Linked DNA regions of Coturnix japonica. The protein of the gene in region 4 interacts with the protein of the main gene of each other region in a pairwise test. Links are inferred from orthologs where the notes say so. Each region holds a gene or a part of one and is shown on either strand. Other genes may lie near its edges.

What was found. The genes of interacting proteins can lie anywhere in the genome.
Region 1: the proteins of TEX11 (region 4) and EFHC1 interact in binary tests that used the Homo sapiens proteins (3 or more experiments, as listed by UniProt). The two-hybrid records come from large-scale screens. The link is inferred for Coturnix japonica from reciprocal best matches to the Homo sapiens genes TEX11 and EFHC1.
Region 2: the proteins of TEX11 (region 4) and CCDC198 interact in binary tests that used the Homo sapiens proteins (3 or more experiments, as listed by UniProt). The two-hybrid records come from large-scale screens. The link is inferred for Coturnix japonica from reciprocal best matches to the Homo sapiens genes TEX11 and CCDC198.
Region 3: the proteins of TEX11 (region 4) and MAPKBP1 interact in binary tests that used the Homo sapiens proteins (3 or more experiments, as listed by UniProt). The two-hybrid records come from large-scale screens. The link is inferred for Coturnix japonica from reciprocal best matches to the Homo sapiens genes TEX11 and MAPKBP1.

The regions. Positions count from the first base shown.
Region 1 is NC_029518.1:98,073,305-98,077,512, reverse strand, and holds the start of EFHC1 (EF-hand domain-containing protein 1), read left to right. Parts: upstream 1-1,408; coding exon 1,409-1,471; intron 1,472-2,572; exon of another isoform or gene 2,573-2,835; coding exon of another isoform or gene 2,836-2,847; intron 2,848-4,208. UniProt on the Homo sapiens protein: Microtubule inner protein (MIP) part of the dynein-decorated doublet microtubules (DMTs) in cilia axoneme, which is required for motile cilia beating.
Region 2 is NC_029520.1:50,440,252-50,444,502, reverse strand, and holds the start of CCDC198 (uncharacterized protein CCDC198), read right to left. Parts: upstream 2,801-4,251; 5' UTR 2,712-2,800; coding exon 2,531-2,711; intron 1,566-2,530; coding exon 1,489-1,565; intron 712-1,488; coding exon 625-711; intron 277-624; coding exon 178-276; intron 1-177. Other genes in the region: SLC35F4 (solute carrier family 35 member F4), read right to left, coding at 4,098-4,251. UniProt on the Homo sapiens protein: May be involved in tuning the metabolism, energy expenditure, and excretion processes.
Region 3 is NC_029520.1:22,413,099-22,417,354, reverse strand, and holds the start of MAPKBP1 (mitogen-activated protein kinase-binding protein 1), read right to left. Parts: upstream 2,801-4,256; 5' UTR 2,586-2,800; intron 1,911-2,585; 5' UTR 1,690-1,910; coding exon 1,573-1,689; intron 1-1,572. UniProt on the Homo sapiens protein: Negative regulator of NOD2 function. It down-regulates NOD2-induced processes such as activation of NF-kappa-B signaling, IL8 secretion and antibacterial response. Involved in JNK signaling pathway.
Region 4 is NC_029519.1:2,416,683-2,420,182, forward strand, and holds part of TEX11 (testis-expressed protein 11), read left to right. Parts: intron 1-92; coding exon 93-239; intron 240-656; coding exon 657-765; intron 766-1,738; coding exon 1,739-1,859; intron 1,860-2,197; coding exon 2,198-2,362; intron 2,363-3,500. UniProt on the Homo sapiens protein: Regulator of crossing-over during meiosis. Involved in initiation and/or maintenance of chromosome synapsis and formation of crossovers.

The DNA of each region.
Region 1 (4,208 bases), on a different chromosome or scaffold from region 4:
AGAGTATCACGTTTCAGCCTACTATCAGCAAGCCTGGGCTTCAAAGTGTTCTTTAACAAACCCTTTGTAATTAGTCCTTGGATCCCTCGGAGCACAGATAGGGCATACTGAAACATCAACTATTCCTGTAGCACGGGGATTCACAGGTTGGGCTTATTTATTGCTATGCATTACAGTGGTGTAAATACACATAACAGCACAGCCTTTCCTCCAAAATACATGAGGTTTAAGCAGAGGAGAGCTAGATCTTGATACAGAAAACACCAATCCTTTTGCTTTTCAGGAGTTGTAGAGATGCAAGCCTTGTCTTAGCCTTGCCAAGACTGATTTGCACGTACAGAATTTGCTGTCAAAGATGCCCCTTTCTTCCATGGTCTTCCTAAATCATACATCCCCATCTGCCTTCAAACACTCAGAGGAAGTGAAGTGTTCCGATCCAGTCCCTGCTCATATCTGGAGCCAAAAAGGCAAGTTTCCTTCCCTTAGGAAGGTACTGGCCCTTGTGCTCAGGATACCTGCTGAATGATGGCTGGATCCCACACCAGGAGCAATCAGACAGACTGCTTAAGCCCCAACAACACCCACATCCAAGCCAGTTCCTCACTGTCTGCTTGCTGCCTTTCAACCCTGCTTGGCCTTCAAGTTATTATTTCCCTTTCTGAGCCCATCAGACACCTTTATCTCTCCCTGCTGCTTTTAGTCTCTCTGTGTTCCTGCTTGACTTCTGCTTACAGACTCAGATCCTGCTGCCTGCCCATGAATCACAGCCTGCTCTGTCTTACACACCAACATAAAGGCACTAAAGGGAAGAAGAAACACAAAACCCTCTTTTCTCCTTGGTGATCGACGTGACTCTCCTTATCTGTTACATTTAAGAGCAACTTTCCCACAGGATCTTTACATTTAAAGGCTTTCCTCCTTCCTATACGTGAAATCTCACACTGTGGGGGATCTGTGTCAGTGTTATAACTGGCTATTCCACAGCTAATGTGTATATATATATATATATATATATATATATAACATGGTTAATAAGCACAACCTCTTCTCCTGTGGGGTATTTTGAGAACTTGGGTAGAGTCTCACAGCTACTTTTCTCTATGAGGAGGGCAGGCCGCCCACAGCCTGGACATGTTTTCAGTCTCACATACACAGGCCCAGCTGTGAGAGCAGCACAACTACATCCTGCAACAGGGAAAGAAATACGAGGAGGAACACTTTCCACAGCCTCAAGGCAGCTGCTTTTACACACAACGGGGGTGGTGACAGCCGAGGCCCAGCCCCTCAGGGCCCTTAGCCGGGACAAGGCCGCAGCCGCCGTTAGTCTATTGAACGTGCGTATTAGGCGGGGCCTGGTGATTGCCATAGAGACAGCGTCGCTGGGAGCTGGGAGGTGAAAGCAGCCGCCATGAGCTCGGAGCCGAGGCCGGGTCTGCCCTTCCTCCCGGGCTGCTCCTTCAGGGACCCCACGGTGAGCGCAGCCCCTGCTCAGCCCAGCTCTCGGGACCCCTCAGCATCGGTACCCCCAGCCCCCGCCTGGTCTTGAAGGTAGCCCTTGCTGGAGGAGCCCTGTGAGGCTTCTGCACAGCCCAGATGCTATGGGGGACTTTCACTGACCCGTGGTTCCTTGGGGATCCTGGTGTCCTTGTTCACGCTCCCAGGGAACCTGGTACTGTCTCAGACCCTCCTCTAACTCCCCAGTGGACCTGGTATCTCCACATTCACCTTATATCTTCTCAGAGGCCTACCCTAGTCAGCTTGTGGTTTGCCCAGATCACCTCCTAATCCCCACAAGAGGTTGGGTACTTCCTCAATTAATCTGAAATCCCTGGGGGAGCTGGTATCCTGTGGATAACCTGACACCCCAGCTCACCTGATGCCCCTCAGGATATCCACCAAACTGACTCTCAAAGGGCTTGAGATCCTTATAAACTCACCCAAGGGAGCTGAAAACCACTGAACTCTTTGCCCAGGGAAGCTGGTTTTTCTCTAAGCCAACAGCTGCCTGCTGAGCTCACTCACTCCTGGGGGGGGGAATGAACTCTCTGAATCCACTTGCTTCCCCTAACCTCATCCACAGGAGCTCCCTGAGCTGTCCCAAGGCAATTTCAAGTCAAGACAAGTTCCCAGAGCAACAGATATGGCTGAGCCCAGCCTCCTTGGTGCTTTTAAATCCATCCCCAAGATGCCATTGCATCTTGCACCCATCTGATGTCCCCTTAAACTGCCCCAAAACAGAACCACTATCTGCAGACTTAACCCTGGGGATCTAGTACTCATGAATCCATTTTTTAGTTGCCCTGCCAATTCATATGGTACCAAAAGGGGAGCAGCACTCTAAAACTGACTTTATAAACAGGCAGACCACTTCTGAACCACCTCAGTTATGTGTTCTGTTTCCTTTGTGGCTCTGGACAGCCTGGTCTAGTGGCTGGCAATCCTGCACATAGCAGCGGGGTTGGAACTAGGTGGTCATTGTGATCCTTTTCAACCCAGGCCATTCTATGATTCTATGAACTTACTTCTCATTCTGGTACTGCCCTGAACCAGGACCCATACAGTCACCTGATTCTTCCATAGATGCCTTCCTTGTATTGCCTGGAGAATTTAATGCTTGATAGACCATATGAAACTGATGCTCTGGAACCTGAGAACTGAGAGTCTGGTCAGAGAACTGGTATCCCTCCACTGAGCTGATACCATTGCAGCCTCCAGAATTCTCAAGGAAGTGAAACTTCTCAGCTGTACTCACACTCCTTGGAAGAAGTAGACTCATCCTCTGCATTTGAATAGATACCTAAATAAGGAAGCAAGCTTTCCTTTTCCCCACTCACAATGGTCAACAAGGTGAGGATCTGGTAACCTCAAATCCTCCCAATATCCTCTTGCAAAAGCAAGATGAAAAGCAATACACCCTGAGTTCCTTCTAGTGCTGTTTTAGAGCAGCTGACAATTTGCATTTCCTTCTCCATGGGAAGTTAATATCTCAGATCTTGATACTGTTACTCATCTTCAACTCAGTGCTACTATAATTGCAGTTTTAGAAGCCAAAGTCTTTGAATTTTCCTGACTGCTTTGCTCAGAAGCTCACAAACTTCGGTAGGAAATGGATACAGCAGGGCATGCCTGATGTCTCTGTGGAACCTAATAGCTTTAAGAATGGGCTCCCAGTACCTAGAAAGGCCTCACTATGCTCCGGTATTGCAGGATAAGGAACATCATGCGCTTGCATCTGATCCTTGTTATGTGGGGCATGCTCCATTGCAAAACAAACAGACAAAAATCTTGGGGCATGTCTTTGATATTCCTGTTGAAAACTAACCCTTCCAGGGCAAGACCTTCTATGTCATCCTGATACCTCTTGTAGATCCTTCTCCACAAAAGAAAGACCATTGTACTAACACAGCCCTCGCTTTGGGATAAAGGATAAACCTTCTCAAGGGATGGTGAGCCCCACTGCAGGTCAGTCAAAGTTCTATCCATATCACAGAGCCTCTTAACTTCCACTGTACCAACCCCAGCGGTGCCTTCCAGCACAAACAGTCACACTGTTTTCTAAGTCAGTGACGACTGAGTTTTCAACAGTAAATGGAGTCATTCACTCATAACAAATACTCTCAATCGTGCAGTTATAAAGGTTATCTCAGCATTATTCTCAGTAACCACTTGGAAATTTACAATGCAAATCTCTGCCCCTAGCAAAATATTATTTCTTCTATCAGCAAAACCCCACCTGCTTTAGTCATGTGCGTGCTTCTACTGACATCAGTGGCGCTGTGTGCAGAAGAAACACCCAGAGGATTTAGCAGATCAGATTGTTATTTCAGAGTAACTGGAAGTATTGCCCTACTGGTGATGTTTAAGTCGATCTGCACTCCAGAAATGTCTTTGCAATGTTGCTCAGTGAGTGTTATCACCTCACTTTGCCTCTATGTTCCAGCCTATAAAATGATCAGCAAGATACTTGTTTTCTATGTGAATTTGGAGACATGCTGTAAAAAAACCTCTGCATTCAGATAAGATAACGTAGTTAGTTACTGGTTATTCAGATGCACTCTAACGAACTGAGACCCTGGGAGGAGAAGCAGTGTTTATATGAAGCTCTACAGACATGGCAAGAAATACTTAATTCAGTAGCATTTCTCCAATATGGGCTGGCAGCAACTGAGATTAGGAGTTTACATTCTGGGTTTTCCCTTTCAGTTTTG
Region 2 (4,251 bases), on a different chromosome or scaffold from region 4:
AGCTGGCACTACAAGTAATCACACAACCCTGTAGCTCAACCAGGGCAAATCATATTTGCCAAAACAAGCACAAGACAGAACGAGACCCCATGGGAACTTCCTCACCCATAGGGGAGACAAAGAGATGAGGAAACCCTTCCAATCCTCCACCTCTCCCCAGAGCCATCCCTGTGTTACCTCTCGGCGCTGGCGCATCAAGTCCAGCATCTGCATCTTGTGCAAGTGCTGCCGCCTGCCAGGGGGGGCTCTCAGGCTCTGCCCCCTCTTGTCCAGTGTCTGTGAGGTATGAAAAGCATCAGTAAAGACACCTGCATTGGCTAAAATGAAAAGGAACTCCTGTTTGCCAACCCACACCCAGTCCCTCAGGTGCTGCTCAGATGAAGGCAGTGAGCATTTTCCTGCCTGGTTAACGTGCAGTAATTTAGTGCAGGTTTTCAAAGCACTCACAGTTTATCTATCTCACAGCTGAGGGGCACGATGGAAACTCATCATTAAAGTCATGTATGCCAGTGCCTGCCCCCAAGGTGCTGCTGCTCTGCTTTGTTCAGGCTGATATCAGGAGCTGTACATGGTCGGTGAGGTTGTGCCTGCTGCACAGCTCTTGGCCCTTTGCTGTGTGCTCACCTTGGCTTTTGGGGCTCCATCCATCCCTTGGTAGCTCCAGGGCTTTACAGTAGTGACCCCCCTTGGAGTGCCGGCAGGTTCGAGCCTCTGCAAGTGCAATATTTAGTGTTCAGCATTCCTCCTACTACACAAACACCAAACCTGATATGAAGTTACCTAGACATTTTTACAGCTCCAATTCTGGTCTGGTTGCTTGGGATACAAAAAGGAGTTTGGTACCTTCAGCAACACACATCAGTGTCATAATTGAATACAGCATCTCCTGGCAGGACATACGAGGCCAGAACCTGCTTACCTGGCCCTGAGAACCAACCCGTCCATCCAGCCAGACTCTTTTGGTGGCTAAGACCTTACTTTGCATGTGGTATGAAGAGTCCTTCCTGATGGAGTTCAGCAGCTTTACAGGCTGCTCTGAGAATGGATGTCCATCTCAATGAGCTAAGATGTTCCCTTCAACCACCCAGATAACACTGGCTCACTTCTCATCTCAAATATACTCCTCATTTCCCCACCTGTGATGGGAGCTCAGCCTGGCTTCCATAAACATTAAAAGGAACATCATAGAATCCCAGGCTCTATTTGGGAAAGAGATTTAAGACCATCAAGTCCAACTATCAACATAACACTACCAAGTCCACCAATAAAACATGTCCCATAGTGCCACATCCGTGTATCTCTTAAATATCACAAAGCTGATCATGAAGCCGTAAAACATGGCACTAGATGGCAGCATGTGACACCACAAGCTGCAGCCCGGATCGTGCATTGCTCACGTCCCATGTTGGAGAGCAGGATGTTTGTTTGCTTCCCTGCCCCCTGGCCGAGCAGAGCAGCCCCATGTGAACCTTCATACATTCACCCTACCTGTGGTCGCCGAGGTGGGTGCAGCTTGATGATGCTGCTGGCTCCATTCTCCGGCACAGTGTTGAAGTCAAGGGGCCCTGAGGGGTCAGAAAGGCGAAGTCACTTTTTGGGCTGTACTCTACTATAGCTTTCTTTCTGCCCTATTTTTTTGCTTGGTGTGTCCCACCCTCATTTCTCCCAGCGTTCTTCCCAGAGAGGTGGTGGTGCCCCATCCCTTCAGATGCCCAAGGTCAGGCTGGATGGGACTCTGAGCACCTGATGGAGCTGTGGGCTGTTACTTATTAAGGCAGTTCTATAACTGAGCTCAACCTGCCCTGAGCTTTGCGCTGTGCAGCTCCTCCTGGGTGTGCAGTGTTGTGTTATTGCTTGCACAATTAGACATGCACAGTAACTGTTACAGCTTCTCTGTCCTCCCCAGACCTGCCCTGCGGTGTCTGAATGCCATTCCATGTGAGTCATTGAACTCCCACATCTCGGCCTCACAGGAGGGGATTTGGGGATAATGGGCTGGGCAATGGCACAGGGAGACAGGGGAGAGGGCATTGTGTTGGTGTTAAAAGTAAAGCAGGAGGTCCCCTGATGGGGGCTGTGGTACCCCCAGACCCAATCTGTTGACCCCAGATCACTATCACACCAAAGCTTTGTGTGCTGTCACAGCACCCTGCTGTCCCTCCACAGACAGTCCTTGTGTCCCAGCTCCGGGTGGGCACAAACCTTCTCCTTCACCTCTGGGTTTGGGTATGGGACATCTGGGGCGCAGCACATTGCAGTGGGACTCGCCTTCTTCTGCTTCTTGCTAGTGGAGTCAGCCTGGTGCTGTGGGGCTCTGATTTATTTTAATGCCGAATTTCACATCTAATTAAAGTCTAACTCTAATTAAGGTAATGATATGGCTGTGCCCAGCGGTGCACGTTATGGGGTTGCGATATGAATGCTGTGTCTGGCACTGCAGGGATGCCGTGAGATGAGCTCTGAGTCCATCCCCAAAGGCTCTGGGGAGGGAAACAGTTGCTTGGAAAGGCCTCCCCCCCTTTCCCCATACCTGTGGAGGGTCTCCCATACCCGGTCTGGCGGAGGGGTGGGAGCTGCCCGTGGGTTATGGGATGTCCATGCTCCGTTGTGGCTGTTGGGTGCAGGCTGGGCTCCCCCATCACCTCCTCATTGCTGCGCATCGGTGCCACTTGGGTCACCCTGGGGTGCGTCTTGGAAGAGCTGAGGCCCATTTTGTAGAGCTTGGGAAGAAGGAAAAGCCCGCTCTGAAAGCAGGGCTGTAATGCCGAGCCCAGAGTGGGATCCCATTGCCAAATGCACTCAGGTGCCCTCCCCAGCAGGGTTAAACATTGACACGGCTCCAGCCACTGCTTTGTTTTTACCTTCACACAACTTTCAGCAGCACCGCCTCAGCTGGTTGAGCTGGAGGCATTTCTACCAGTGGTTCTTCTGCTAAACCTTCAGTCTTTGGAAAGAAATTTGATGCTCGGAGTACTCAAAGTGTCACAGCATCTCCAGAGCCTCACCAGGAGTACAAAAAGCACCCCTACCCTTGCTTTAGCTCTTGTAGTGGCATTGCTGGAAGTAAAACGAGGTTTATCACTTAAAACATCAAAGCCAAGATTCAGGTTGGATATTAGGAAACATTCATTCTTCAAAAGAGCAGCGATGCAGTGGCACAGCTGCCCAGGGAGGGCTGGTGTCACCATCCTTGGAGAGGTTCAAGGACCATAGAGATGGGGCACTGAGGGACATGGGCAGTGGGCATGGGGGGGGGGGTGAGTTTGGGAATCTGGGAGGGCTTTTCCAGCCTTACTGATTCTATATTGATCAGCAGCACGGCTGTGCAGGACAGCCCTGGATTTCACATTATTTTCCTTGAATATTTAAAGAGGTTCCTTGAAGGATCCAGTTCTGGGCTTGAAGATGCTGCCATGAGGCTGTGTGCCAAAACACACACGTCAGCGCATGCTGAAAGGAAATAAGTACTTATTTTCCCTGTGTGTTTGCATTGGCAGGAGCTGGATTTTCAGTATAACACATCTCTACAGCTCTCTGTTGGTGTAAATGAATGCATCAACCCCAAAACCTATCTAGGGTGGTGCCCATTCAGCCATAAGTGTGACTGATCCTGGGTATATTGGGTCACAGCTTCCCTATGTTACATGATGACAAGAGAGGGAAGACAAGAAGGCCGGGTTGGTTTCCTTTGGCTTTTGAAAGGTTTTTCACTGTGGTGGATGAGAAGAACAATCGCTCGGACCAATGAAATGCTGTAAGAAATGGGATCTGCCATTTCCCAAAGGTGCTGGTGGTTCAGAAGGCTCCAGAAGTTCCTGGGCTTTGTGGTGAAGCTCAGCATCATTGGGTTCAGTAACACAAAAGCTTAAACCTTTGGTTTTGTTTGTTTGTTTTTAATTAGAAAACATTTTATTGTGGTTATTTACACCCTTTCCTTGGTAAGTGTATAAATGTAAACATTTATTATAGATCTAGCTCTCTTATCTTACAACTCATACCCAGTTCAGAGTAAATGGCATTTTTAAGCATACAAGGAGTGAGGAAATTTAAGCTATATTCACAGAATATACATCTGCGTGCAGTACAGTCCACCAGCCCTAAGCTAGTGGTATAGACACTGTGCCATTGGCTCTACTTCTGCTTCTCATGTGTACACTGGAGTCTGTGATGTCGTCGGCGTGATCCTCGCTCTTCTTCTCCTTTAAGCTGTTGATGAACCTCAGGGTTATTTCATCCCACTCTTCGGGGAGC
Region 3 (4,256 bases), on a different chromosome or scaffold from region 4:
TAACACCTCATCAAGAGGAATTGCTTTTACCGGCCAACTCCCTGATTAACTGCTCACACTACTAAGACACAAAACCCAGCCCTTAAACCCTAATTTCATAGTGTGGAATTTATCCATCAGTCCCCAGGGAGTCAAGACAGCCCTGACTGCAGAACTGATACAGTGGAGCTCTTCCAAAACATATGTGCAAGGCAGAACAACAACAACAAAAACAATCAGGTACCAGAGAAGGCCTGGGATTTATAGCAGCAGCCCCAGTTCTGAAACTGAGCAGGCTGAACTTGGCTCCTTATCACAGAGCTGGAGCCCAGAGCCCCTGTACATGGTAGTATGGAGGCTTTGGGCTGTTCCTACAGTACAGGTCAACTACCTGCTCTTCAGCAACAGGCAAAAAGCAGGTTTCACTGGCAGCACCCAGGCTGCATTACATGCAGTGCATGCATGCACATGCACACACTGAGGCCAGGCACAAGCACCAAGGACTCTCCTCTAGACAGCTCTTTTGTGGCAAGAGAGGACGTCATGGTGCGCCTCAGTAAAAAAGAGCCATCTCCAGGAACTTCCAATCAGAAGCAGAGCATCAAGAGCAGGGTTTCGTGCTGGGACAGGCCCTTTAAACAGAGTTTTCTCTTTCCCCTGCAGTTTTACATACATCCCTTACTCCAGCGGCTAACGTCCCAAGCACTACTGTCCTGAGACAAACAAATGCACTTTGCATTCACGTATTATAAGCATTTCTTATTTATTACTGGGGAGGGATTAATCTTTCTATTTATGGAGATGGAGCAATGCAAGCACTGGGTGATTTGCCCGGGGTTACAAATGAATCAGTGGCAGGGACAAAACCAGGTGCCCTGACTCAGATGTGCCTGCTGTCAGCATAAGGAAATGCCACCCAGCTCCTCTTCTACCCACAGCTGGAGAGAAGTCATCCTCCTCTCCTCATGACAACAGTGACTGTCTGTCAGGAATCCTCTGCAACACCAAGAGGAGCCACAATTTTTTATACAGGATCAACTACACCTCAAACTAAGCGCCCCCTAGAGAAGGGAGAGCTTAGTCTGAATCAAAGCAGAGAAAAAAGATGGAAGAAAAGCACATTCAGGATGGCAGAATGCAAACCCCCATCTGAACAGTCACTTCAGAGACACAAATCTCATCTTTCAGAGCATCCCACCCTTCCCCAGGTGCTCAAAGAACACACCTTTGTGGAGCAAAGAGACATGGCTTACATGGAAAAACAGGTCTCTGTTTCTTGTTAGTTGCCTGTAACACCAGATTGCAGTTGGGAACATGGAGGAAGGGACAGCATTACATTCCTCCTGCCAGTCATCCATAACAACTCCATATGCTAGAATGAGGAAAAACCTAAATGCTTTCCAATACACCATGACTTCAGACTGGGTACTTCCAGTCACATCCAGCATGAATAGACCCTGCCCAAAGCTCCCAACTAAAAGGCATGTATCAGATACTCTGGTCGCCCCAGGTCTCCCACAGAGGTATTTTCAGTACAGATGGGACTGCAGGTAACAAAGTTAAAGCAAGCTGGTATCACCAAGCAACACTCACCTTATTGCCTATATCTTCACGCTTGCTCCCAGGCTTGCTTCTTCTCAGCTTAATGGAAGGGGAGCGAAGGAGGTTTTTGATCCGACTTGTTATTGTAGACCCTTCAACCGACATCATCTCCAGGTATCAGGAGACACTTACACCCCACGCAAACCGTGCCTGGGGAACAAGCCCAGGTCTGAGGCAGAAATACTCGACAGCTCAGCTGTGCTTATGCGTGTTCACACATCTCTCGGCAATCCTGCTCCAGAGCTCCACTCCTGTTACTCGGCTATTCACAGCGGCTGGCTGACCTTCCTTCTGCAGATTCCAGAGGATCAAATCAGCAGTAACCTAAACTGAAAGATGCACTCGAGGGTCAGTAAGATATCTGCAAGATTTTTTAAGCTTCATTATTTGCAAGAAATGCCAAATGAAAGATCTAATAACGAGGGTGGCTGCAGAATTATTCCTTCTCAGAGGCTTTCACAAAAGATTATCCTTCCTTTACTATCAATTAGCAGATTTAAAGCAATTCGAACCAGCAGACGGCTACCCTCTGGTAGCGCTCCGCTATCAGTCGCTATGAGGTCTGTCCATCAGCCCCTTGCTTTCGCTCGAGACACGTTGGCCCCACCTCGGGCTCTGCAGCCCAGCAGCACAATGCCGCACTCGGTTATTAAGCGCAGAGAATAAATGTGAGGGACTTTTTAACTCCCACAAATTGAGCTCCGCTTTAGGTGTGCACAGGGAACGGGCGATACCCGGTAATAAAGGTACGTGACAGCCCCCATCCCCGCTGCTCCGCTCATCGAGGGGCTCGAGGAACTGATGCTGAGCTCCAGCCAAATCCCTCCCCGCCACACACCCCCGGAGCCGGCCGGAGACACCGGGGCAAAGCCTGCGGCAAATCACCCTCCCGGCTTCCGTGCGAAATGGGGGCGGGGGGACGACGGAGAAGGAGCGAGCTGAGGGACGGCGGAGCCTCCCACCACCGCGACCCCGAGCCCCGCTCCGCCCGCAGCTTCGCCTACCTGGCGCCCGGCAGCGGCGAGGCCGGCGACCTCGGCGTCCCGCAGCGCTCGCCCATGCAGCCGGCCTCCCCGAGGAGGGGCCGCCGTGCGAGCCGCCCCCGCGGGCGGGGCGGAGGCGGGGGCCGCTCCCTCAGCGGCGGCGGCGAAGGGGGCGGCTCCGCGCTCGCCGGCCTCGGCCAGAAGCGGGGGATCGCCCTCCCGGCACCGCGGCCGTTCCGGGCCGAGCGTCCGCCCGCCCGCGCCGCCCAGCAGCCGCCCCCAACGGCCGCGCCGCCACCCGCATCCCGCCGCCCCCGGACCGCCCGCCCGCGGTCCCGTTCGAGCTACGGCGCCTCGCGCGGGTCAAGCGGGGAGAGACGGGGCGGAGCGCGCCCCTGGCGGAGGGATCGAGCGGCGCCAGTGAGGCCGTTAGTGCGGCCGTTATCGGGAGGGGGCGGTGCGGCCCTGTCAGCGTGATGGGAACACGGGGCGGGGGGTATAACTGCCGGGAGAGACACAACGGCCGTCAGAGACACAACCGCCGCTCAGGTGGCGGCCGCAGAGCCCCGAGTGCTGTCTCAGGGCGGCGATGTAGGGTGAAGCACGCTCTAGATGTGGCCCAGCGTGCATCTCCACATCCACAGCCTAAAGAAGAAACAAACCGGAGTTTCTTCATGTGAAAAAATCGTCCCCCTTTCTTAACGCGGAAGGGGGCTGTGAGAAAGACTTTTCAGCAGGGTCTGTTGTGACAGGACAAGGGGAGATTATTTCAGACTTAGAGGGGAGATATGGATAAGGATGTAAGGAAGCAGTTTTGTACAGTAAGGGTGGTGAGGCTCTGGAGCAGGTTGCCCAGAGAGATGGTGGATGCACCATCCTTGGAGACGTCCTAGGTCAGGCTGGACCAGGCTCTGAGCACCTGTGGGTGTCCCTGTTCATTGCCGGCAGGTTAGACTACGTGACCTTTAATGGTCTTATCCAACTCAAACAATTGTACGGGTCCATGATGTTAATTTGCCCTCAGCATTGACCACAATGGGCAGCGCCCTGCCAGCGTCATGGTGCGTGGCTCTGTGACCCTGCATGGCCTGTATTTCAGGAAAAGGTTGTTTGCATTCGCAGCACGCACCCTTTGGTGCTAAGTTCTGTGCAGACTGGGATGAGCTGTGGTGAGTGGGACCACTCATACTTTCCATGGGGTTAACAACACGCACCAGTCTGTGTGCCTCTGGGACCTGACATTGCACAACTGTGGGGAAAGCACTTAATAGTTCTTAAATTTCTGCCGTTCAGCAGGAAAAACAACAAAGTCACCACATCAGTGAGAAGCACGCAAACATTAGGGAATGATCTGGGAGATGTCTTTGCAAACAAGTGTGAGAAACACTCCAGTCAGTAAGTTTGACTCCAGCAAGAACCTAAGTGAAGCAGCATGTTTGATTTGCAATAGCAGTGGCAGAGGCACACTCTCTTATGGCAAGACAGAAAACACGCACCTTGTTGGTAAAATACACACTGTGATATACCCATCCTCTCAACACAGTTCTCTCTCCTAATTACTCATCAGTTGAGTATCCCAGGCTCACAATCCTCTTGATGCAGTTACTAAGGAATATTTCCATATTAGGTCTGTTACCAACCTGTTGTTTTTAAGTATATCTTGTATTTCTTTATGGAAGTAGGAAGGCAATA
Region 4 (3,500 bases):
CCTGCCTGTTAGAAGTAAAATATTTACATTATATACAATTTAGCTTTAAGAAAATGAATCATTACATACAGGGAAATCTATCTTTCCTATAGGAGATTTTTCTAAAGACCCAACAGACACTTTGTTGCTGCTCTATGAATTTGAAGCAAGATCCAAGCTTAATGATCCTACACTCAATAACTTCATGGAGTCAGTATGGGAGCAACCACACGAGATCAAGACACTAGAAATCATTGCATGTAAGGGCTGTATTTGGACTTGCATAGTTCTTCAAGTCATGAGAATCAGCTTATGTTGCTCTTTCCTGTACATTTGAGGTTACTGGGATTATTGTGTATGGTATGGAATGCAGAAAATGAGCTTAATATTGTGTCCCAAAACAAAGACACTTAGGATCTTGGCCGTAATAGGAGATCTACACTTTGAAATGTCACTGCATTACATGGATGATGAACCAGTAATCTGTGATGTCCTTTAATTCCTGTTCTTCTGCTTGTAGTCCTCACTAATGAGTCTACAACAAAGAAGATAGTAGAGAAGCGCTGGCTTGTGACCAGCCCAGGCACCAAGCAAATGCTGACCATGACTAAATGCTAGCTCCAGTCATTTCTTTCTTCTCCATTTAATTAATTTTTAACATTTATTTTATTTTATAGCATTAGCAATGGAACCTCCAGCTCGGTATCCTGTACTGTGTAAGAAAGCTCTGAAGAGTGCACTAAACCTGTACAGAAAGCAAACTACCACTGATGCTGGGAAATTTAGGTTAGTGTTATCACAGAAGTTTGCCATGAGCCCATGGTTTGAACTGTGATAGGGAATAAAACCTTCTGGGAAAAGTGGGTTTTAGCTTATGTTTAAGCTTCCTCTAATTGCTGGCCAACCAATCTACCACTGAAGTGTGACCATCTAACAGGTGTGTTAACTGCAACCTATTTGCTAGGCATGTTTTCTGAAAGTCATATTTACAATAACTGAATCTATTGAGGAAGAAAAGTGGTCTAGAAAGTGTTTCTGTCTGTTTCTTGTTATAGAATTTTTTGTTCCAAATGCTTTTCTGCAGCACTGAAGTAGTGAACTAGAAAATTAAGACAAATTAAAGGCTAAGAAGAAAGCCATGAGGTGTAAGTTAGCAGTAAGATGCTGTAACACATGCACAATGTATTCTACCAGGTAACCAGCTCTGTAACAGCTGTAGCTTGTGGAAACTGAAAAACAACCTGGCGTGTCCTTCTTTCTCAGTTCTGTCTCATAGTGGATGTTTTTTTTCCTTTGTACTAAGTTCTGTGCTGCACCCAGCGGGCAGAGGCAGCCATTGCTTCTCTCTTTCTCTTTTCACACTGGGAAAGAAAGACCTGTTTTCAGAAGCTGTGTATTTGTTACTGGTTTTCTGAGGATGCTGAGTACTAAGCTCTTGTTGGTGAAATGAGAAAAGATCTTCTCTTTTTCCTTGCTGTCATGCATAGCATCCCATGAAAATGCTGCAAGCCCAGCAATTAAAATACAGAAGTACTGCTGCTATTGGGTCTCTTTTTGCACAGCTTGTGTGAGTGAGCTCTGATGCTAGGAATGTGTATGCTCTGCCGTACAGATACGAATGCAGTAAGCACAGAGGTGGAGGTATCAGGATGGCAATCAGAGCGGCACAAGTTAATGTGCTGTTGGTGCCAAAATGTAGTGGTTTGCCCTGTGCTCATGGTATTTAATATTTCCTCTTTCACTCTGTTTTGATTCCCAGCAAATGCTTACATAGTTTGATTAATCTTTCTTTGCCAACTGGAGTGATGGACTTGGATGCCTGTGTACTGCAGGAGGTGTGGGGCTACTTTGAAGATGCTCTGAGTGTAGTCAGCAGCACAGTAAGTTGAGCAGGAAAACAAGGGGCTGGGAAATGATTCTGAGCACATTTAAAACATTTTTTTTTTTTCCCATCAAATTGAGAATAATTAGTAGGTAAAACATTAGACAGTGTTATATATGAAGCAGCCGAGACTTCTTCAGTAAAAGATGCACCTCAGTATAAACGGTTTGTGGATATTTATAACTGCACTATGATTTTTTCTTCATTTTGTAAGGGCTTCTTTAGAGATATTTAAGGCCAAGTTTCAATGAAGTATGTGATAACTCTGAAAGAATTGTCCCTTACGTAGGGGGAAAAAAAAGCATCACTGTTCTCCTATTCTGTTCGCTACTCCAGGGTAGTTACCCAGAGATGGAGATCCTTTGGTTGATGACAAGAGCCTGGAACACAGGAATATTTCAGTATACCATTGGTAAATATCAGGAAGCAGAGCAGTGGTGTGGATTAGGAATGCGTTTCCTCAATCATTTAGGATCCCTGAAGAAAAGCTATGAGGGCCATGTAAGTGTAAGCAAATGGAAATAAGAATGAAAGTGGGTGTCTGGGCTGAATGTGGTCAGTTGTGGAGGGGAGGAAGTGAGATTTTGTTGTGAGGGTGTGGATCTGAGTGAAGAAACCATTACTGGTGGCTTAAAGGTTTTCAGGAGCAGCTTGACACCTGCACAGAATTATAGAATGGCTTGGGTTGGAAAGGACCTCAAGGGTCATGAAGCCCCACATGCAGGGCCACCATCCTCCATATCTAATACTAAACCAGGCTGCCCTGGGCTTCATCCGACCTGGCCTTGCATATTTTGAGGGAACCAAAATTGATTTTTTCCAAGTCAGGCCAGAATAGGTTTGATGCACAGCAGAAGGAGTAATGCAGAGTCATTTTACTGACAGGACTGCACAGCTGGCTGAGTGGAACTAGATGTGAGGCTAGTTGTGACCATTCCTTGTACCTTGCCTGATCTCACTGAGGGCAGGGTGCTGTACCAGTTTCCTTAAATCACCTGTTGCATGAATATTTTCAAGCTTGTTCTTTAGTCTGTGGGGGAGAAATTTCACAGCTACAGCCTCTGCAGAAAGCAGCAATGCTTCTTCTTACATCAAGTAAGCTGCTCTCTGCAGTGTTTTGGCTGGTACTCCTGTCTTGATTGCAGCACAGTACAGCCTGGCTGCTGTGTGTAGTCATGGTTTATTCTCTTACGTACAAGACAATCAATCAGGAGCTGGTTGCAACCTTTGTATTATTTTAAGCACATCGGTTAATGCTGGCGAACCTGAAGGCAAAAGGTCAATGAGCTCAAACAACCACACACCAATATAGTTAAATATAGCTGCGTCCATTTATTGCCCGAAAAGCCATACTTTTATAGCAGACAGACAAGGGCGTCCAAAAATCACACACGCTAATTGGAGGAAAGCTACTGCAATAACAACCCTAAAACCCCCCTTCAAAGCCACGAGCCATTCATTCTTTTCCTAGAGGTGTCCTTGGTTCTCATGCTGTTTATCCTGCTCCGCAGCTGCTGCTCTGTGAAGTCCTTATCTTGATCCATGGCTGCTGCTCTGTAAAATTCTTCTTGTATTACAACAGGCTAGTACAATAAGAGCAGGTTTATTAATTGATATAAAACTCAGCCATAAGCTGTGC